Linked DNA regions of Oryctolagus cuniculus. The protein of the gene in region 1 purifies or fractionates together with the protein of each later gene. This does not show direct contact. Links are inferred from orthologs where the notes say so. Each region holds a gene or a part of one and is shown on either strand. Other genes may lie near its edges.

Region 1 (4,566 bases):
TGTTGTGGCCATCTGGGGAGTGAACCAGCGGATGGAAGACCTCTCTCTCTGTCTCTACCTCTCTCTGTAACTCTTTCAAATAAATAAAATAAATCTTAAAAAAAAAAAAAAAACTCGTTAAAAAAAAAAAGAGTGGTATCTCTTCCTCTTTTTCATCTTCTTCCTCCTCCCTTTCCTTCCTGAACAGTCGAAACCAGAAGTCATTAAATGGTAGACTCAAGCAGGACCAGTATTTACATAGTGGGGAGGCCTCGGTGGTCTGGTGGCAGCCGAGACGGACATCAGTGCGGGTGGTGGCAGGTGGCAGCTCAGCAAAGATTCAGGGCTCCCAGACTGGGTGACAGGTAGAGGGAAGGTGGTGGTGGACCGGCATGGAGTAGTGGAGGCTGATCCAGCGGCGAGAACAGATTGTCTTACAAGCAGCAAGTCTTGGTAGGCTGTGAGCACTGATGCCGATGGTGTTAGAGGGATGGAACCTGTTGACGTGGTTGTTGGATAGGAGACCTTGCCCAGGTCTATGAGGCCAGGGTAGCATAAAGAGGAGTGAAGGAGCTCTGAGAGAGTGAAGTGTTTAACAAAACAGTGTGTGGGATATAATAAGTACTTACTGTGGCCCAGCCATTGGTAGTGTGGTTGTTTTCGTCTTCCTTGTCTGCAAAAGCAGGAAGGGGGACGGATCTGACTCTTGCCCTCCTTATCCTGCCGCCAGTGCGAGCTGAAGCTCTTCCAGAAAGAGCGCGTGGGAGCGGCACCCTGGCACAGCCGTGCCGCACTGCGCTGCCTCAGCAACCAGTGGCAGGGGCTCCGAGGCCGCACACTATGCACGCATTTCTTTCTTTCTTTCTTTCTTTTCTTCAGATTTTATTTTTTATTTATTTGAAAGGCAGAGTTACAGAGAGAGGGGAGACAGATCCTTCCATTTGCTGGCTCCCTCCCCAAATGGCCACGATGGCCAGGGCTGGGCCAGGTGGAAGCCAGGAGCCAGTAGCTTCTCCCAGGTGTCCACATGGGTGCAGGGGCCCAGGCACTTGGGCCATCCTCTGCCGCTTCCCTGGGCGCATTAGCAGGGAGCTGGATCAGAAATAGAGCAGCCGGGTCTCGAACCGGCGTCCAGATGGGATGCCAGTGTTGCAGGCGGAGGCTCACCGTGCTATGCCACAACACCGACCCTGGGACTTGTCTGTGATATTCTGTGCAGGCAGCTCTAGTGTTGGGGAACAGATCAGTGGGTGCCAGAGGTTTTGGGGTGAGGGGGAGAGTGTGACTACAGTGGGAAAGCAGAGCACTAGGGAGTTTTGGGGGTGATAGTGTGTTCTACATCCTGATTTTGGTGTTGGTTATTCAAATCTGTACATGGGTTAAAATTCATAGATCTGTATACCAAAAGTAGTATTTATTGTGTGTGAATTTTAAAAAGCACACTGTGGAGACAGCACCTTGGGGTCTGGGTGTCGGGACCGACTGGCGTTTGTGTCAAAGCACAGTCCACGTGCCCAGGCCTGGTTCCTCGCTTCCGGCCCCTCATCACTCACTGGCTTTTTCCTTCCTCGTGTTAGATTGGAGCTGGAGGGAGCATCACTGGGCTGAAGTTTAACCTTCTCAATACCAACCAGTTTTTCGCCTCCTCAATGGAGGGAACAACTAGGCTGCAAGACTTTACAGGCAACACCCTCCGAGTTTTTACCAGCTCAGACACCTGCAAGTGAGTAGCCGAACTAGCATGGCAAGGGCTTCCAGCTCCAGGTGTAGTCCTGGCGAGAGCATCCTGACCCCGCTTCTGTTACCTGCACCTGGCCAGGAGGAACGAGAAGGCGTTCGCCACTTTCCACCCTTCCCTCCCTTTTTCAAACTCTGGCTACTCTGACTGCCGTCCAGGTGGGCTCCTGCTTTGGGAAGGTGTTCTGGAGCCTCGGCTCTTCTCGGCTTTTCTCTAAGTCACACCTGTGTTAGGCTCGACCTTGGCTCTCACGAGACAAGTCAACGTGGTGGTGGCCCAGGGTGGAGCAGGCACTTAGGACTTCAGACGCAATTCCTTCTGTTCGTTGGCGGGTGAGGAACTCACCAGTTCCTTGGTGGAAGCTTCAGTGGATCCAGTAGTGTCCAAAAAGTGCTCCGGGCTCCCCAAGAGCAAGGGGCTGGAGGAATTAAAAATGCAGGTCCCTCCGCGTTCTAGCCAGAGACCCAAGTCTACCTGCTCCCTAAGGAGTTAGGTGAGGGGCGGGGTCTGACAGCTAGCACTGGGTTTCCTGGGCTGCCCCACAGGGACAGGTGACTGGCTAGACTCAGCTCCATGTTGGTCTTCCACAAGAAACCCTCTCGCTTAAAGATCCTGAAGGGGAACGACCAAAAGGCAGACTAGCGTGGCTCTGAGGGTTTAGGGGAACAGATGTGCATCTGGGCTGCAGGTCGTGTGTGCTTTACCCTAACTGCTCAGAAGGGGGCAGACATTTCTTTCCGGCCAGCTCTGAGTAGCACAGCGGGGCAGTTTCTGCTTGGCGTGTCTTCTCCTTTAGCCCCAAGGTGGAGAGGGAAGGCAGAGAAAGGAGACCGAGGTTCTAGCAGCTGTGGGGCCCAGCTAGCCAGGAGGCTTGCCTTAGGGCCCGAGGTCTCACTGCGTCTGGGACTCTCCCTGGCTCAGGACGCTAGGCCCGGCAGAGACTGGACACATTTTGGAGCCCCCCTCACCCTCATTCCCTCTGTTTGGCTGGTAGACAAGACTGAGTGTTCTTCCTGGGAATCCATGGTAAGACAGATACTTCATTCATTCAACAAATATTTATTGAGCGCCTGCCGCGGGTTAGGCCCAGGAGCTGCAGCAGTGAGTTAAAGGACCTGTCTCTGGCCCCAGGAATCTCACAGTACAGTCTCTCCTTCCAGCGTGTGGTTTTGCAGCCTGGACGTGTCTGCCAGAAGCCGAGTGGTGGTCACAGGAGACAACATGGGGCATGTGTTCCTGCTGAACATGGACGGTAAAGAGGTGCGTGCTCTGAGCCCTGGGCGCGCCTTCCCTCCCCTCCCCCCACCTCAGTTCTCTGTCCCCAGCTGAGCCGGGCTCTCCTCTGCAGCTCTGGAATCTCCGAATGCACAAAAAGAAAGTGACCCATGTGGCTCTGAACCCGAGCTGCGATTGGTTACTGGCCACAGCCTCCGTAGACCAAACAGTGAAAATCTGGGACCTGCGCCAGGTTAGAGGGAAAGCCAGCTTCCTCTGCTCGCTGCCACACAAGCATCCTGTCAACTCAGGTGTGAACCCCACCTGTCTCAACACTCCGGGGCCTCCTGGGAAGTTTGGAAGCTGCTAGGCCGACCCTTTCTCCCCAGTGTCTCAGATCTCCTGTGGGCTACTGAGTTTCTAGAATTCTTCTGCTCACAGCCCTGGTTCACCTCTGCCCTTTCCCCCCATCTCAGAGGTGTCAGAGGGAGGGCGCCCCCGCGAGAAGCGGCCCGACGGGGGCGGGGCTTCCGGTTTCTGCAGCTTAGGTGCTTGTCACTTCCCCAGCCTGCTTCAGTCCTGACGGAGCCCGGCTCCTGACCACGGATCAGAAGAATGAGCTCCGGATTTACTCTGCCTCCCAGTGGGACTGCCCCGTGGGCCTCATCCTGCATCCTCACCGGCACTTCCAGCACCTCACTCCCATCAAGGTGAGTGACAGAGTGACGAGAACGCGCAGAGGGAGTGGAGAGCGTGGGGACGGACCAGGTCTGCCCAAGGTGGGGAGGGGGCAGGCGTGTGAGCCTGCAGCTCCAGACCTCTTCTTGCCCCAGCAGACAGTCTCTCAGCCTTTCGGCGCTCTCTGTTCCTTTTATGCCACGTTTGCAAGTCCAGTTGGTGGGGCCGTCTTTGTCTCTCTGAGAAGCTGTCTCCCTCAGGAGTTTCAGCCCAGCCCTGACCTGTGAGCATGTGCAGAATGCTGAGCTTCTGCCCTGCCCTCTCGGTTTCAGTTACCCGTGTGTGTGGGTCCACAAACTAACCTTCACCTTCTTAGTTTGTCTTGCAGGTTTAGGTGGCTTCTAATAATAGAAATAAGTCCCTTCCTTTCCCATTTTGGATCTCCGTTTCCTCATCTGTAAAAAGGGAATAATAGTATCTAACTGATAGGGTTGTTGTGAGGATGAATCAGTGTACTTAAAGCACTTGGCACCATGCCTAGCACCGGGTGAGTACTCAGAAAATGATGACCGCTTAGTACCGCACGTACCTCAAATCATATCCAAGCACCTACTAAGGAATCCCAAGAATCCTTCCTCAGCTGGTGTTCTTGTTAATCCATCTGTCCTGATCTGCCGCCTCGTATCCAGCCAGGCCAACCCGCCGTCTGTGATTAGTGGTACCATTTCTTCCTTCCTGCTAACCACATCTTTGCTCCTTCAAAACTTCCTTGAGAAATTGTATCAGGAAAATCCCATCCAATTTGTGATTTCTGGATGAGTGGGGTAGGCTGGGCTACTGGAGTTCCTTTCCTTTTTCAGTCTTGAGTGATTTTACACACAGCTCCTGATTATCCACGCTGACGGAGGGGTGGCAGTGGGGTTACTTCAGATTTCTGTCCTAAGTAGTTCTGATTA
Region 2 (4,090 bases), on another chromosome or scaffold:
AAAATTTTTAAAAAGATTTTATGTATTTGAATGGCAGAGTTACAGAAAAGGAGAGACAGAGAGAAAGATAAATCTTCCATCCACTGGTTCACTCCTCAATTGGCCACAACAGCCAGAACAATGCTGATCTGAAGCCAGGGGTTTCTTCTGGGTCTGCCATGCGGGTGAAGGGGCCTAAGGATTTGGGCCATCTTCTACTGCTTTCTCAGGCCATAGCAGAGAGCTGGTTTGGAAGCAGAGCAGCCCAGACTCCAACCGTGGCCCATATGGGATGCTGGCACTGCAGATGGCGACTTTACTCACTACGCCACAGCGCCAGCCCCCTAATTATTTTTTTAAAACACAAAGTTTTGCTTTAGACATCTTAGAGGGGCCAAATAAAATAGAAATTTGTTTTTTAAGATTTATTTATTTACTTGAGGCAGAGATACAGAGAGGCAGAAGCAGAGAGTCTTCTATCCATTGGTTCACTGCCCAGATGGCTGCAATGAAGGTAATTGCGCCGACTGGGAAGCCAGGAGCCAGGAGCCTCCTCCGGGTCTCCCACAGACTTGGGTCATCTTCTTCTGCTTTCCCAGGCCGTAGCAGGGAGCTGGATCAGAAGTGGAGCAGCTGGGACTTGAACCAGCGCCCATATGGGATGCCGGCACTTCAGGTGTCGGCTTTACCTGCTACTCCACAGCGTTGACCCTGAAAAGTTTTTTAAATAAAAGAATTATTTGGGATTGATTGTAATCCCTCCTGATCATGTAAAGGTAGAAAAAAATATAATATGCAAACCTGAAAATGAGCAAACAGGGGAGTTCAAATGACTGTGTCTTTCTGGACTGTGTAAATCCAATTTGAAACAGCTTTTTAAGATTCTACAAAAGCAAAGGGAGTTTCCCTCTGTAATGCTCAACAATGTTTAAAATAAAAGAGAATAAAGCAAAAATATCATTCACGAATATGACAAATAAAAGAAACTGGGAAGCCGGAAGAGGTTGCCCACCATAAGAGCATGGGATGTGAGGAATGCTTTTTGCTTAGTAGTATATAGCTGTGTATATATGTGCTTTTAACACAAATTAAGTATTAAATTTAAGACAAAATACGGGCACAAACTCCGTGGCATGGCAACCGAAACAGGGCGGCAATTCTTTGTTTCTGCGAATCCGCCAGGCCATTCTTTCAGACGAGAGCCGGCGGCGCCGCAGGGGGCGGGAGCGCGAGCCCAGGCCCCGCCCCACGGCGTAGGGCTCATTTCCGGTCTCGTAGAGCCGGGGCCCTGCCCTCGCGATAGAGCGTGTGGCGTCACTTCCGGCTTCTCTTCGCTGCTGGCTCCGGGCGCGGGCTGTGAGGGAATCGCTCGTGTCCCGAGTTCCTCGGAACCATGGTGAGTCTGACCTCTTTCCTGTCCCTTCGCAACCCCGGCCGTGCCCCGCTATGCCTTGCCGCCCCCCTGCTCTTTCTGGCCTCCCAGCGTCGCAGGCTCCCCGAGCCGGCCTCCTGGGCCCGCCGCACATGGCGCGGGCCGCGCGTGTGGCCCGCGCGGGGCCAGCCAGTGGAGCCGTCCATGCAGGCCAGGCGGAGAAGTGGTTCCGTAAGGCCAATGTCTGGTCAGACTCGGCCTTTCCACAAGCCCGAGCCCGGGACCCCGAAACGTGGGCCTCAGCCTCGCCGGAGAAATTTCTAGCGCCTCGCCGGCCCCGCCCTCCCCCTCGGGGCGGGGTTTGGGGCGGCGGGGAAGGAGCCGCCCGAGGGTAAAAGATGGAGGCTGCCTCCCCGGCGGGCGTCCGGCTCGTGTCCCCCAACCTTTGCGGGCCTTGTTCTTGTTTTAAGATCGTCTTTGGTCTTGCCCTGCTCGGTAGTCCGCCTCTCGGGTGTGTAATTTTTATTCCTGGCGTGCTTGTTACCCAAAACGGCACAGTACCTTTCTGATCCCGCCTCTCTTGGAAGCTGAATTTGTTTGCAATCGCCGTATTGTAAATGAATGTTCTCTTAGATACCTGCTTGTAAATCCAGTGGAAGGCATGTAAATATATGTGTTCCAGAGTTGTTGTTCAAACTGATTGTTTCTTGGTTTTCCTCTGAAGGCGTCCCTTTCCCTTGCGCCTGTTAACATCTTCAAAGCTGGAGCTGATGAAGAAAGAGCGGAGACAGCTCGTCTGGTAAACCCTTTTCTGACGTTCTTACTGTTTGAGAGGTAAAGTTGTTCTTTAAGGCTAAAATGAATTCTCACAATCTCTGATTTTTTTTTTTACTCCAGTCGTCTTTCATTGGTGCCATCGCCATTGGAGACTTGGTAAAGAGCACCTTGGGACCCAAGGGCATGGTAAGGAAAAGAGGGAATTTTCTTTTCGTAGTTTTAATATTATTTTAGACCTCTTAATATCCCAAGTTTTAATTATAAAAGTAAGATGAATGTATCCAAGTCCTATTGGATATTAAATGGCAATCACTGTTTCTGCTCTTAAGGGTGCTGAAACCCAGATTGTCTCTCTCTGTGCTTCTAGGGGTAGAGATACCAAGGTTTGCTTGCGGAGTATACATTATAAACTTGCATACTGCCAAGTAGTCACCCAGAGTGTTTACACGTTAGCAGTATTTGGAGTACTGATTGATCTGGGTGCTCTTCAAGGTCCATTTATATTTTAATTTGAACCCAATATGTTTTATTTAGGACAAAATTCTTCTAAGCAGTGGACGAGAAGCCTCTCTTATGGTAACTAATGACGGTGCCACTATTCTGAAAAACATTGGTGTTGACAATCCAGCTGCTAAAGTTTTAGTTGGTGAGTCGTTGTTAAATTTCTGAATTAATTTATTCTTCTTCGATAGGCTTAACTGTACTTGTTAATTGACTTATACCACTCTTAAAATTACTGTTAATAAAAGGTTCAGGAGTACCATATAATTATTGGTAGGTGTCTTAGTCTCTTTAGCGTTGCTGTGAGAATAGCGCAGACTAGGAAATCCACAAACAATGAAAGTTGTTTGGCTCCCAGTTCTGGAGGCTGAGAAGCCCAGGATTTAGGGGTCACACTTGGTAAGGGCAAGGCATTCTTGCTGTGTTACAACATGGTGGGAAGGCATCACATGGATGAGTGTGTCTGTGCTGGAGGGGAAAGGGGCCTGAACTCATCCTTTCATCTTGACCCAGTCCTGAGATAATGGCAGTCCCTTTATTAGAGCAGAGCCCTCGTGACCTAATCTAAGGGTCCCACCTCAACATGGCTATACTGGAAATTAAGTTTTTTTTGTTTTAAAGATCTATTGATTGATCTGAAAGGCAGAGATCTTCCTTCCACTGGTTCACTCCCCAAATGGCCACAGTGATCAGGGCTGGGCCAGAGGGGAGCCAGAAGCTTCATCTGAGTCTTAGTACAGGGACCTAAGTACATGGGCCTTCTGCAGCTTTCTCAGGCACATCAGCCGGGAGCTGGGTCAGATGTGGAACAACTCTCTGGCTCTGGGAATAAATTTTCTGACACCTAAACCTGGGCCGGCACTGTAGTATAGCAGGTAAAGCCACCGTCTGCAGTGCTGGCATCCCATATGGGCATTGGTTTCAGTCCTGGCTACCCCACTCCAATCCGGGCCCCTGCCACACACACGGGAGACCCGGAAGAAGCTCCTGGCTTTCAGTCGGCCTACCTCTGCCCATTGTGGCCATTTAGGAAGTGGGTGGCAGATCTCTCTCTCCCTCTGTGTAACTGTTTCAAATAAATATGGGGCTGGTGCCTGTGGTGCTAGCATCCCATATGGGCACCGGCTCAAGTCCTGGCTGCTCCATTTCCCCTCTAGCTCTCTGCTATGGCCTTGGAAAGCAGTAGAGGATGGCCCAAGTCCTTGTGCCCTTGCACCCGTGTGGGAGACCCAAGGAGGTTTTTGGGTCCGTGCAGCTCCAGCCGTTGCTATGGAATGAGCCCCCGTGGATGGAAGACTTCTCTCTCTGCCTCTGTCTGTAACTTTCTTTCAAATAAATAAATCTTAAAAAATAAATTTATTTAAAAAAATAAATAACATATGAACTTTGGGAGATATATTTGAACTGTGGCAGTAGTAAAATATTTTAGATCTCAGAGTTGTCAGGTGAGGAACATAGATA
Region 3 (4,285 bases), on another chromosome or scaffold:
TAATAACTAGCACAATGTAAACTCTATGTAAGTAGTTACACTGTATTGTTTAGGGGATAATAACAAGGAGAAAAGGTCTGTATATGTTCAATACAAATGCTTTTTTTTTTGGTAAGTTTCTGGCTTTTTGCTTATTTTCCATCCTTAGCAACTATGCCTCTGAGTTTAAGAGCAAGAAGCTGAGGTAAACTGGCTGGAGCTGTGCCGATCCAAAGCCAGGAGCCAGGAGCTTCTTCCAGGTCTCCACGCCGGTGCAGGGTCTCAAGGACTTGGGCCATCCTCCACTGCTTTCCCAGGCCATAGCAGAGAGCTGGATCAGAAGTGGAGCAGCCGGGACTTGAACCGGCACCTGTATGGGATGCCGGCCACTGAAGGCAGGTGGGGGCACCTCTAGGCCACAGCGCCGGCCCCCCACGTGCTCTTGAACCATCACCTGCTGCCTCCCAGGGAGTGTATTCCAGGAAGCTGGATCAGAGGCAGAGCTGGGACTGCACACGCATTTTCTGATGATGCAAGTGACACAAACAGCAACTTAACTGTTGAGCCAAACACTCGCCCCGAGGAATGAGGTAAACGGTTAATTCCCGTAGGCCAGAAGTCCCCTCACCCCGCAGCGTGTCTCAAGTCCATTCCTCTGAGAACTGTGGAACTCTGTTCAGGCTCCTAAGTGGGGTGACTGCTGGATTTCCCACCACTCTCCCCGGAACACCTCCTGGGACCAGCTCACACTTGGGGGCGGCGATGCAGACACCGAAACGGCCAGCCGGACCCAAACTGTAGCGGCAGCAGGAGGGGCGGTCGGTGACCGCAACCGGCTCGGGCTTGGGGGAGCAGGGAGAGCTGGGGTGGGCTGGAGCCGGCAAGGTTGGGAGGTTGGGATGGGTGGGGGCTGTTCCCAGTGCTGCACCTAATACCAGTATTTGGAAGGAGGAAAGATAGGATATGCAGACGGAGCCGCCCAAATCCCGGCTCCACCCCAAAGTTCTGCATCCATTCACTCAAAAAAAAAAAAAAAAAAAAAAAAAAAAGGCCCCCATGTGTGTTGGTCACAGGGGTACCGGGATGAGAGACAGGACTCCCAGCCCTGTGGCTGGCAGTCAGTGAGTATGTACGGAAAACAGATACGAGGTCCTGGCCGAACCCCAGGGACCCAAGGCTGGAAAGGTGGAAGCCAGGGCCAGGCCGCCCGGCAGGCAGGGGTCAGAGCACACGGCCTCTCGGCTTGCGGTCAGCAGTCTGGATTTCATTGTGAAAGTTGCCATTGCATTCATTCTGCAACCCCCTTAAGCGCTAGCCATTCTTGTCCCAGCTTTACTGCCGGGAACGATTCAGGCGGGGCGCGCGGAGTGGACTGATCCGGCCCAGGTCGCCCGCAGGCGAGACGCGGGGGTCACGCTCCACCGAGACCGCGCCACACTCAGGGAACTGACCGCTCGCTCCCGGGCGGCCCGACGCGCGCCGCGGGGACACCGCGCATGCGCCGCTCGCCGTACGGAAGCCGGGAGGGCAGGGGGCGGGGCCGAGGCTGGCGGGCGCGGGGAAAATGGCGGCGGCGGCGGCTGCGGCGAACGGGACCGGAGGGAGCAGCGGGATGGAGGTGGATGGAGCAGGTAACGGGCTGCGCGGGGGCGACTTCTGGAGACAGCACTCAGGGGTGCGTGCAGGCCGTCTTGGACTCCCGGGGGACGTGAGGAGGGCGGTGGGATAACTTGTGGGAGCGATGTATGGCCCCGGCTCTGCCGTCCCCCGACTCCCATCTCCAGGGAAGAGCGTGGGGGTCCGGAGACTCTCACCCTCTCTCCGTCCCCTGCACCGTCAGTAGTCCCCAGCGTGATGGCCTCCGGAGTGACCGGCAGTGTTTCCGTCGCCCTCCATCCTCTCGTCATCCTGAACATCTCCGACCACTGGATCCGCATGCGCTCCCAGGAGGGGCGGCCTATGCAGGGTGAGTGTTGGGCGTGCTTCTCCGACCCCGTCCCCTCGGTAGCTCCCCGGGCCTCGTCAGCCGAAGCCAGTCCCCCTCCCCCATCACTGTTTCTGCAGCAGTCGGCCCACACGTGCCCTCAGACCCCCAGCGGGAGATCAAGTTTTGGGATTCCCTACCGTCCCCTCTCACGTCCGTTCTCTTCCCCCCAGTGGTCGGGGCTCTGATCGGGAAGCAGGAAGGCCGGAATATTGAGGTGATGAACTCCTTTGAGCTGCTGTCCCACACCGTGGAAGAGAAGATTATCATCGACAAGGAGTATTATTACACCAAGGAGGAGCAGTGTGAGAGGGGAAGCCAGTGGGGGAGAGGTGTGGGGGGTCAAAGAAAGAAAAACAAAACAAAACACAGGACCGGGGAGAAATAACCAGGAGAGGAAGCCGAGAATGGAAGAGTTAATTCACCTGAAGAGATCTCAAGACGGTATTCCCTAAAACGGTGTACAGGATGAGCGGTCAGAATAGCAGGGGTGAGGAGGGAGGGGGAGCTCGGAGGCAGGGAGGGTGGTTTAAAGAAGTACGATTGCTCTCCAGTTAAACAGGTATTCAAGGAGCTGGAGTTTCTGGGCTGGTACACCACAGGGGGGCCGCCTGACCCCTCCGACATCCACGTCCACAAGCAGGTACAGATACAGACGCTCACACCTGCGACTGGCGGGTGGGGGGCGGGGGGCGGGGAGAAGAGGGTGGGACGTCCACCTGCACGCCGGCCCTCTCCTCCAGGTGTGTGAGATCATCGAGAGCCCCCTCTTTCTGAAGTTGAACCCTATGACCAAGCACACAGACGTGAGTAGTCCTGACCTCGTGCCGTGCTTGTTTGTCGGTCCGCTGTTGCCGGTAGCACAGCTTCTTAGCAACTGGGCAGTGCTGGGGTTGAACCTCCGTTCTGCCCTTAGCAGCTGCGTGGCTTTGAGTGGCGTTTAACCTCCACATTGCTGTTTCACATGTGAAACGGGGATACTCCCTACCTCCCTGGGTTCTTGTGAAGATCGGATGGGAGGCGGTGCCCACGTGTAGCACCTAGTGGAGATTCAAGTCATTTGCTGTTCCTAAGAGCTGTTCTCTGTTCTTTACAGCTTCCTGTCAGCGTTTTTGAGTCTGTCATTGATATAATCAACGGAGAGGTAACGCCTGACCCCTCACCCCTCAGGGCCTGCTCGACGCATTTCCGATTTTGACTCTCACTGTCTGGGACACTCTGCTCCACAGGCCACGATGCTGTTTGCTGAGCTGACATACACTCTGGCCACAGAGGAAGCTGAACGCATTGGTGTTGACCATGTGGCCCGAATGACAGCCACAGGCAGTGGAGAGAACTCCACCGGTAATGGAGGGGATTCCTTGGAAGCGAGGGTGGGAGGTATGGCCAAGTGCCTTCTCACTCTCTGCCCGTGCCTGTCCCTTGCAGTGGCTGAACACCTGATAGCACAGCACAGCGCCATCAAGATGCTGCACAGCCGGGTCAAGCTCATCCTGGAGTACGTCAAGGCCTCTGAAGCAGGTAGGGCAGGCCTGTGGCGTCCACCTCCCCCCCGGCCAAGTGACAGCATCCATGTGAATGCGGTCTCTTCTTGTCTGTAGGTGAGGTCCCCTTTAACCATGAGATCCTGCGGGAGGCCTATGCTCTGTGTCACTGCCTCCCAGTGCTCAGCACAGACAAGTTCAAGACAGACTTTTACGATGTGAGTATGAAACCCGGCTGGGGAGGTTTTGCTCACAGGATGGGACTGCAAAGAGGGATGCCTGGAGAACTGGTTCTTTCTGTTCCCCTGCAGCAATGCAATGATGTGGGGCTCATGGCCTACCTCGGCACCATCACCAAAACCTGCAACACCATGAACCAGTTTGTGAACAAGTTCAACGTCCTCTATGACCGACAAGGCATTGGCAGACGGATGCGGGGCCTCTTCTTCTGAGGCCACTTGAAAGGATGCACTGGGCTCAGCGGCCTGTCCCAAGGGGAGGGGCGCGCCACTCCCTTAGAGAACCGCTGTGGTCAATAAAAGGGGATCAGCCCCTCAGCACCCCTCCCAGTGGCTCTGTCCTCTCTGTCGGGCACCAGATTTCCCAGTGGGGACCTTAGGTGAGGCCCCTTGTGCCAGCTTTGTGAGGCAGAATCTGTGTCAGCACTTGGCAGTGCACTGCCTCCTGAAGTGACCCCACAGCCAGTTGGGTGGAGGACTCAGGAGCACCCGCGATCTTTGCTCTGCGCTTTCACGTCACCCTGTGGGGTCCACCTGAGCTCAGTGCAACTGCTTTCCCCATTTAAATTAACTTCATTAAAGTTTTTCTCATACATAAA
Region 4 (4,293 bases), on another chromosome or scaffold:
CTAACATAACCTACAGGATAGATTCCAAAATTCTTGGCTTGGTTTACTAGGCACTTTTGAGCCTCATCTTTCTTAGTCCCAACCAGACATCCTGTTTTCCAGTCTCACTGCAGTTGCCATGTTTCCATAAACATGCCAGGCCCTTTCACAACTCCCTGCTTTGTGCATGTTTCCACTGCCCAGAATGCCTTTCACTCTCTTCCTTGTCTTATTGGCAGCTCCCACTTTGAGACTCAGCACAAATGTGTCTCTCAAACTCCCTGATTTTTCCAGAGTTCCTTCAAATTTCTTGTTTTGCCTCTTGCCACAGCACTTTGTACATTTGTTAAAAGTACTTTTATGGACATTAATTTTGAAACTAGAAGAGTACTTAAAAAATTTATGGAAAATGCATACTATGTGGAAACCATTCATGAATTTTGAAATTTTTCTGTTTGCCCAAATAAATTTATCTTTTAATCCCATTTTTTTTATGAGCTTTGTGTAGTACCCTTCTGTCTTCCCCCACTGGCTTCTCAATGGCAGGGACTTGGCATAGTGTCTGGCACATAAAGTCTCCGGATACATGTTCATTAAAAGTTTCTGTAGTTAGATCAACAGGTTGAAAAAATTATTGTTTGCTCCCCCTGAGAGTGTTCTACGGTTAAAAACTACCTTAGGGAACTTACAGGGTTTGTTATTGTTAATTTAACCAAACATCAAGTTTTGTTTGATCGGCGATCAAATTTAAAGTTTTTGCTCCTGGAATACATTAGTAGAAAACATGACTTTTGCCAATATTGTTCTCCTAAAATGTCTCCTTTGAAACACTGTAGAAGCTGAGACTTCATCAAAGGAAGTAGGTCTTAGCTTTTTGTTTGGTCTATAAATTACTGAATTCATGGCTGATGAAGTCGGGATAGCATGTGGTTCCAAGAATTGCACTGGGTCAGGACTTAGCTACCTTCCTATTTCTTTGCCTTAGAATACACCCTTGGCTCTGGCCAGCCATCTTAGAAAATGCTCCTGGTAAGAAGTAAAAGAACTTACACATACGCTATTGAGAAAAGTATCAAAACTCTGGCTCTATTCAATTTTGGCTCTGTGGTGTCCTTGACATAAATAATTTATAGCTACACTGAATCAAATTCTTTTTCTATGTAAGCTCCTTTTCTTCTAACAATATTGTAACATCAGTAGGCATAATGACAAGATTTGTTTTCTTCCATTTCGGGTTAGTCTCTTCGCCTGGCAACCCCTCCTAATTCCTTTATCTCTTTCAAAGTTTCCATTCTCTCCTTCCCTTACTTTTTACTCCTTCCCTCCCTCTCCCTTCCTCTTCCGCCTCCCCCTTTTTCCCAGCTAGCTTACCCCGCCCCTCACCGTCACCACCTTCCCTCCCCTTCAGGATCCTTCCCGCTCCTTCTCCCGTCACCCCCCACCGTGGCCGCCCGCCTCGCGTTCATAAAGCGCCAATCAGAAGCCCCGAAGGTGTTTCGAAGGCCCGCCCCCTCCTCCCTCTCCACTTCTCTTCCCCCCCTTTGCTCCCTCCCCACCCCCCACTCAAGTCCTGCGGACTCGGGGGCTTCGGGAGCTGGGCGCTATGAAAAGTGTCTGCCCAGTCACTTCCGGTAAGAACGCCGCGGCGCAAAGCTCCCCGCGGGACCGTTACGGAGGGATGGGAGTTACCGATGGGCCGGAGGAGGGAGGTACTGCCGGGGAAGGGAAGAGGGAGCGAGAGCCGGAGCAGAGTAGTGCGAGCCTCTGAGGCGCTTCAGCTGCCCCTGTCCCGCCATCCCGCTGTGCGCCAGCTCCCCTGCCCCCCTGGGCGGCTGCGGTGCTCTTCTCCAACCCCCACTCCGGGGACAGACGCCGCCCCTCCTTCGGCGCCGCGTGACCGGAAGTGGCGCCATCTTTAGCCTCTTGTGCTATTGACAATAACAAGCCCTGGGTCTCTTCTCCCCCTCCCCCCCCACCACCACAGCGTCTCCCCTCCCAGAGAGAGGGAGAAAAGGAGGAGGAGCTACAGCCTCAGACTCAGACTCGCTCCTGCAGAAACGGGGGGGAGAGAGCTCGAAAAGCAGGGGAGGGGGACGGCACGGCCGTTTACCTGTCTGCCGCTTCATTCACTCTCCCCCCTCGTTCTGCTCACTCCTGGTGTCAGCCTATCCGCCTTCCCAAACCCTCCCATTTCCCCGGTGTAGCCCCCCCTTCACTTTCCTGCTCGTCCTCTGTGTTTCTCCTCTCTTCCCTTCCCCCTCTAGCATTGCCACCTTCTCCTACACGCACGCAGGCATATAAACTGTAGGTTTTTGATGCTCCTCTGCCTGTTGACCCCGCTATTTTCATGTTTCCAACAGGTTTTTCTTCCCCCAATCCCTCAGCTGCTGCTGCTGCTCAGGAGGTCAGATCTGCCACTGATGGTAATACCAGCACCACTCCGCCCACCTCTGCCAAGAAGAGAAAGTTAAACAGCAGCAGCAGTAGCGGCAGTAACAGTAGTAACGAGAGAGAAGACTTTGATTCCACCTCTTCCTCCTCTTCCACTCCTCCTTTACAACCCAGGGATTCGGCATCCCCTTCAACCTCGTCCTTCTGCCTGGGGGTTTCGGTGGCTACTTCCAGCCACGTACCGATACAGAAGAAGCTGCGTTTTGAAGACACCCTGGAGTTTGTAGGGTTTGATGCGAAGATGGCTGAGGAATCCTCCTCCTCCTCCTCCTCATCTTCACCAACTGCTGCAACATCTCAGCAGCAGCAACTTAAAAATAAGAGTATATTAATCTCTTCTGTGGCTTCGGTGCATCATGCAAACGGCCTAGCCAAATCTACCACCGTCTCTAGCTTTGCTAACAGCAAGCCTGGCTCTGCTAAGAAGTTAGTGATCAAGAACTTTAAAGGTAACCAAAGCCAAAATTCATAATCACCTACTAAAGATTTGACACTTCAGCGGTCACGTGCTCTATTTATGTTACTATATTAAAGAGCATAGAGGTAGCTAATGTTTTATGCGTAATTAATGAGGTGGAGGGGAGGTCCTTTTTTTGGTGGAGGGTTCATTTGCCAGGGGGGTGGTTAGGAACCTTGTGCTGAGGCATACACCCCGTGTTTCTGTGCAGTATTTTGAGGTTTTCCTCAACCTGTTATATTTAATTTGTTGTCCCTTATAACATTGGGTATCTACAGTATGATTGATCCGGATTTTACAGGTGAGAAATTTATGTTCTAAAGAGGTTTGTTTATTTCAGGTGCATAGTGAGCCTTGGCACTGCTGGGATTTGTATTTTTGTGCTTCAGTAGGCCACATTATCCAGTCCCCAGAAAAGCAGGTAGCAATGGTGATCTTTCCATGCTCAAATAGGACTTAGATTGTTGAATACTGTATTTATGAAACTCATTGCAGAAGCAGTATTCAGAGAAAATATTTATGGTCTCTACATATCTTACCAAAGATAGGGGTTAGAATTGAAAAATACTGGGTATACACAGAAGTTGTAACTCTGTGTACCACTAGTCTAAAGATAGGTACAGTTACTACATCTATTTTTTTTATCACTAAAACGAGTTTTAAAGTATTGCCCTAAAGCTTTTAGGAAAATTTGTTAATATTGTCTTTGATAGGTGATTGAAAGTATTATGAACGCATTGATGCTAATACAAAATCAAGTTTTAAAAAAAATGTATTCAGCTGAATTAATTTGTATCTGTTGAATGTGTTCTATTTTTCTGGCTCACTTATTCAACACCTTTAACTGGCAGGTAATAAGTGCAAAAATGATTATTAAATGGAGAAGTAAATGAATGAACTTAAGTAATATTTACTGCATAAGTGCCTTGGGGCTTAATACTAGTATCGGAAAAATTAGGTGTTCACTATCTGTATTTTCAACATTAGTGTAAAAATAAAGAATATACTCTTTTATTTCAAGCAGAGAGATATGGTGTTGTTTATTTTTAACCCTTTCTTTTTATATCACTTCTCTCCCATTTGCAGACTCTTGAAGAGTGTTATATTCTGACTTAAGAGTAAAGCTTTCTGCTTTCTGAAGTGAATATGAATTGTAATTGACTAATGTGTTCATTATTTAGCTGAAATATTTTGCTTAATAGCCAAGATTTTTATAAGAAGTGAGCTGTGATCCTAATTGCTTCTGAAAATTGATTTAAGAAATTTTGTTTTTTTCTTCCTCCAAAAAAATTAAAACACATTATTAAGGCATTTCAATGCTTTAATTAAAAGTTTTTTTCCACTCATTGATGGCCAGTGAAGTGTAAAAGCCTAGCATTTCAGTGTTTCTTTCTATTTAGAAAATG
Region 5 (3,973 bases), on another chromosome or scaffold:
GCTGCAGCTCCGGACATTGCGGCCAATTGGGGAGTGAACCAGCTGTAGTATTTTGTTATGCCTTTGACTCCTTCTCACTTCCGTTTTCTCTCTTCCACTCACTTCTCCTCCCCTCCCCCTCCTTCCTGCTCTCTCTCCCTTCTGTGTTTATGCTTCGCATTTTTCTACCACAAACCAAGGGATAATGACCATAAGCTCTTTATTTTTTTAAAAAAGGTTTATTTATGTATTTGAAAGGGAGAGTTACAGAAAGGCAGAGGCAGAGAAAGAGGGGAAAGTCTTCCATCCTCTGGTTCACTCGCCCAGTGACCACAACGGCCTGAGCAGGGCCAATCTGAGCCATCTGAGCCAGGAGCCAGGAGCCTCTTCTGGGTCTCCCGCGTGGGTGGTTGCACTTGGGCCATTGCCTACTGCTTTCCCAGGCCATAGCAGAGAGCTGGATCAGAAGTGGAGCAGCCGGCGTTGGAACCGGAGCGCATATGGGATGCTGGCACTGCAGGCGGCGGCTTTGCCCACCACACCACAGCAGCAGCCCCATAAGCTCTAGTATTTAAACCCTTCAGCCCTAGCGGCCCACCAGTCCTAGGATTTTGTCTGGTTTTGCACTTTCTCATCTTTCCCCTTCTTGTGCGTTACTTAACTCGGCTGGTCCTCAGTTTTTCCATCTGCAAAGTGGAGATAACTACTAGATTGTTGTGAGAATCGAATGAATTAGGTAAAGCTCATAGTTCAGTGCTTAATATAACAAGCAGCCTCTAAATTTTTTAAAGTGTCAGAGGTGACGTGGAGAGATGATTTTGAATTCAAAAAGACCTAAATTCCAAGTTAATCTGATTTTTACGAGCCTCAACTTACTTATGTAAAAATAGGAAAGATGACATTCGGCTCTCTTCCACCTAGGGTTTTCTCCCTCTCGCCTCTTGAATTAAGTCAGTGAGCCAGAAACATCACTGAGTACATGACGTCATCACGGTAGGGGAGTCCAGGAGTCAAACGGGGTGCAGAACAGCTGTCCGCACGCACAAGTGATAAAGATGCCTGCTATCTCTCCTGCTCCTCCAACAGGTGAGCGGTTGGCCTCCCCACGTGCTCTCGGCCGCAGAGCTTCTACGATTGCCTACTGTTTCCTCCTCCACCTCCCTGTCTCCTGCCATCACCGTTTTCCTCTCGCCCCGGCCACGCGGCGCTGCCCGGATGCCCAGACCGCCAACCACAGCCAGGGACCAGGGGTCCCCTCGGTATTCAGTCCCTAGCAGTCTTCCACTCATAAAGTTTTATTGAAACAGAGCAGAAAAAAAGGCTCCCGTCATTCTTTCCCCGGCAACCAATCCAAAGAGCAGGCTCTCGGCGGCCGGCGGGGCGGGGCGGGGCGCGTCTCCTCCGACACCTGCGTCGCCGGAGCGGAAGTACGGCCGGAAGCCGGCCATCGAGTTCAGTGGCCAGAGCGGCCCTGCAGGGAGGTGGCAGGAAAGGCTTGGAACAGCTGCCGGAGGTGACGGAACGACGGCCCCGCCCGGTGCGCTGGAAGACGAAGCTTCCAGGTAGTGGCCCGCAGAGTCTGGCCCAGGGTACGACGGGACAGTCGGCGGGAGCCCATGGTCCCTGGGCGGCCTCTTTAAGGGAGGAGGTGGAGCCACGTGTAAGGATCGTGGGGGTGAGGTCACGTGGTTGGGGGCACGTGTGGGAGCGAGTGGAGAACCGAGGGGTGCGTTGTCGTTGGGGTGCATGACCTGTGACCCCAGCCGTCGCCGCGCTGCATCCTGTGCCTTGGGGTTCACGTGGTGTGCCTTGGGAGTTAGTCCCAGGGGCAGGGGGAGAGGGTGGGCGTGGCAGCCCTGTGAGGCGGCTGCCTTTAGGGTCCACGTTCCCCACTGCTCCTGCTCCGATTCCTCCCTGCAGAAATGGCTTGTTGCTTCTACGGTCCGGCCCCTTGCCCTCGCCTTTGCCATCCCGCCAGTGCTCAGGGACCTGCAGTTTCACGTCCTCTTTCCTTGCAGCTCCAGACATCCTGAGCCCAGGTCCCCCAGCTCAGTACAGCCATGAGTGCGGAGGTGAAGGTGACAGGGCAGAACCAGGAGCAGTTTTTGCTGCTGGCCAAGTCGGCTAAGGGGGCAGCGCTGGCCACACTCATCCACCAGGTGTTGGAGGCCCCTGGTGTCTACGTATTTGGGGAACTGCTGGATATGCCTAATGTTAGAGAGGTGGGTTGCTGGCCTGGGTAGCCCCTCAGGGAAGCATGGGGCATAAGTCTGGCTTTGAGAATGGACTCATTTCGCAACCCCACGAAACCATTTTGTTGAACAAGAACACAGTGATGATTAACTGGCGCGTTGCAAAAGTAAATAATAAGCAAATAAACGTCTTAGTTTGTCTGTCGTTGTAACAGAAAATGCAGTATTTACATTTGTAAGCAAAAGAGCATGTCATTGCAAATAGGAAGGTTGGGTTCCAGTCTGTCCCCCCCAGTGTAATACCTCCTGACAATCGGGGCGTCTCGTTGAGGGCCTCGGTTTCCTCTTTTAAAGATGGAGATGATACTTTTCTCGACGGTCACTGTAGGAATCCAGTAAGATCATGGGAAAGTGTTAGGTCTGATGCAGATGGAATGAACAGGTTAAATTAGCAGACAGTACTCTCCCTGGGCAGCCTGTGCTAATGCACCTGAGAAAGGAAAGAAAGGAGGTGTCTTTTCCCCCCAGAGACACATGGCAGACTGTTGGAACACAGCAGAGACTTTCACACAGAAGTGGCAAGGTTCAAAGTCCAGGGCGGATGAGTCACCAAGATGTGTGATCCCCACCCATGCCCTGAGACGCTGTGACAGCAATGTGTAGGTAAACTGTTAGCCAGTTTGTGAGGGCTTGTGATTGAGTCAGTGGATATGGCTTTTTGAGGTCACTGTGATATGGAAAAAATTGGGGCTTTTTTCCCCTTACTTTCATCTGCAGTGGGTCCAAAAAAGTATCCGTTAAGGGGAACACAGAGAAGCACTGAGTGCCCGTGTGGCCCTCTGCTGGTGTTCAGTACCAAACAGGAGTCTTAGGAACCAGTGGAAGAGATGAGATGATGGATAGTGCCATATAAATCATTGGTTCAGCAAGCATGTACTGAAGGGCTGACCACACGCAGAGGTCTGTTTTCTCTTAGAGGGATACCAGACTTGGTCTGGAATCCTATTGAAAGAGATTCTAATTTCAGACCCTTCTGCAGGGATTGATGGCTTAAATGCCCAAATGAGTGATCAGATAGAAGAGGAGGTATGGGTAGGCTGGACTGGGTGATGGAAGACCACCTCCCACCGATGCAGGGCTGCGACAGAGACCACAGCTCAGATGCCTGTTGGGTGTGCAGCTGTCAACAAGGGACTCTGGTGAACGGAGGGGTCGGAGACGACTGCAGAGGGATGCTCAGATTCAGGAAGGGCAGACACGCCCACAGCCAGACAGTACAGCTGGCCGCTTCTGGTGGCTGTGTCTTACAGTTGGAACACTGAATGTTTTCAACCTTGAGTTTACTGGAGGGTGTGTATGCATTGGGAAATAGTCCAAGCAAAGGTGGAAATGAGCCCTACCTGTGAGGAGAGTGATCAGAGAGCCCCTCTTGGTGAGCTGGGGGGAGGGGCGACATTTTCCAGGAAAGGTGGGGCTGGAAAGAGTGAGGGTGTCGAGGGAAGCCCTTGCCATCACCACGTCTCTTGCCTCACCTTGCAGCTCGCCGAAAGTGACTTTGCTTCCACGTTCCGGCTGCTCACCGTGTTTGCTTATGGGACGTACGCTGACTACTTAGGTAACCAGGGGGGCTGGAGCTGTGCAGTGATGGGAGTGGAAGAAGGGCGGTTTTTGGAGGCACTTTAAGAGAAAATTCCTGGGATACCCCACATAGGTCCCCTGGGTGCACAGTTTCAGGGTCAAGACCTGAATCAGATTGAAAAACTCAGAACAAAACAAAAAACAAGGGTGAAGGAAGTGTAGGC

What was found.
Region 2: the proteins of DDB2 (region 1) and CCT2 purify together in Homo sapiens (co-immunoprecipitation; 3 studies listed by BioGRID and IntAct, counting the BioPlex papers as one, with this or other methods). This does not show direct contact. The link is inferred for Oryctolagus cuniculus from reciprocal best matches to the Homo sapiens genes DDB2 and CCT2.
Region 3: the proteins of DDB2 (region 1) and COPS6 purify together in Homo sapiens (affinity purification with mass spectrometry; 8 studies listed by BioGRID and IntAct, counting the BioPlex papers as one, with this or other methods). This does not show direct contact. The link is inferred for Oryctolagus cuniculus from reciprocal best matches to the Homo sapiens genes DDB2 and COPS6.
Region 4: the proteins of DDB2 (region 1) and CUL4B purify together in Homo sapiens (affinity purification with mass spectrometry; 11 studies listed by BioGRID and IntAct, counting the BioPlex papers as one, with this or other methods). This does not show direct contact. The link is inferred for Oryctolagus cuniculus from reciprocal best matches to the Homo sapiens genes DDB2 and CUL4B.
Region 5: the proteins of DDB2 (region 1) and COPS7A purify together in Homo sapiens (affinity purification with mass spectrometry; 5 studies listed by BioGRID and IntAct, counting the BioPlex papers as one, with this or other methods). This does not show direct contact. The link is inferred for Oryctolagus cuniculus from reciprocal best matches to the Homo sapiens genes DDB2 and COPS7A.

What each region holds. Positions count from the first base shown.
Region 1 is NC_091432.1:18,715,829-18,720,394, reverse strand, and holds part of DDB2 (DNA damage-binding protein 2), read left to right. Parts: intron 1-1,556; coding exon 1,557-1,702; intron 1,703-2,877; coding exon 2,878-2,977; intron 2,978-3,065; coding exon 3,066-3,243; intron 3,244-3,499; coding exon 3,500-3,642; intron 3,643-4,566.
Region 2 is NC_091442.1:72,139,105-72,143,194, forward strand, and holds the start of CCT2 (T-complex protein 1 subunit beta), read left to right. Parts: upstream 1-1,290; 5' UTR 1,291-1,372; coding exon 1,373-1,375; intron 1,376-1,702; exon of another isoform or gene 1,703-1,862; intron 1,863-2,075; coding exon 2,076-2,150; intron 2,151-2,248; coding exon 2,249-2,314; intron 2,315-2,662; coding exon 2,663-2,774; intron 2,775-4,090. UniProt on the Homo sapiens protein: Component of the chaperonin-containing T-complex (TRiC), a molecular chaperone complex that assists the folding of actin, tubulin and other proteins upon ATP hydrolysis.
Region 3 is NC_091450.1:42,358,141-42,362,425, forward strand, and holds the start of COPS6 (COP9 signalosome complex subunit 6), read left to right. Parts: upstream 1-1,485; 5' UTR 1,486-1,543; coding exon 1,544-1,610; intron 1,611-1,819; coding exon 1,820-1,945; intron 1,946-2,136; coding exon 2,137-2,268; intron 2,269-2,517; coding exon 2,518-2,606; intron 2,607-2,706; coding exon 2,707-2,769; intron 2,770-3,059; coding exon 3,060-3,107; intron 3,108-3,192; coding exon 3,193-3,307; intron 3,308-3,391; coding exon 3,392-3,484; intron 3,485-3,564; coding exon 3,565-3,665; intron 3,666-3,758; coding exon 3,759-3,899; 3' UTR 3,900-4,285. UniProt on the Homo sapiens protein: Component of the COP9 signalosome complex (CSN), a complex involved in various cellular and developmental processes.
Region 4 is NC_091453.1:98,287,594-98,291,886, reverse strand, and holds the start of CUL4B (cullin-4B), read left to right. Parts: upstream 1-1,493; 5' UTR 1,494-1,582; coding exon 1,583-1,688; intron 1,689-2,339; coding exon 2,340-2,879; intron 2,880-4,293.
Region 5 is NC_091440.1:102,792,818-102,796,790, reverse strand, and holds the start of COPS7A (COP9 signalosome complex subunit 7a), read left to right. Parts: upstream 1-1,173; 5' UTR 1,174-1,541; exon of another isoform or gene 1,542-1,705; intron 1,706-1,997; 5' UTR 1,998-2,039; coding exon 2,040-2,201; intron 2,202-3,710; coding exon 3,711-3,786; intron 3,787-3,973.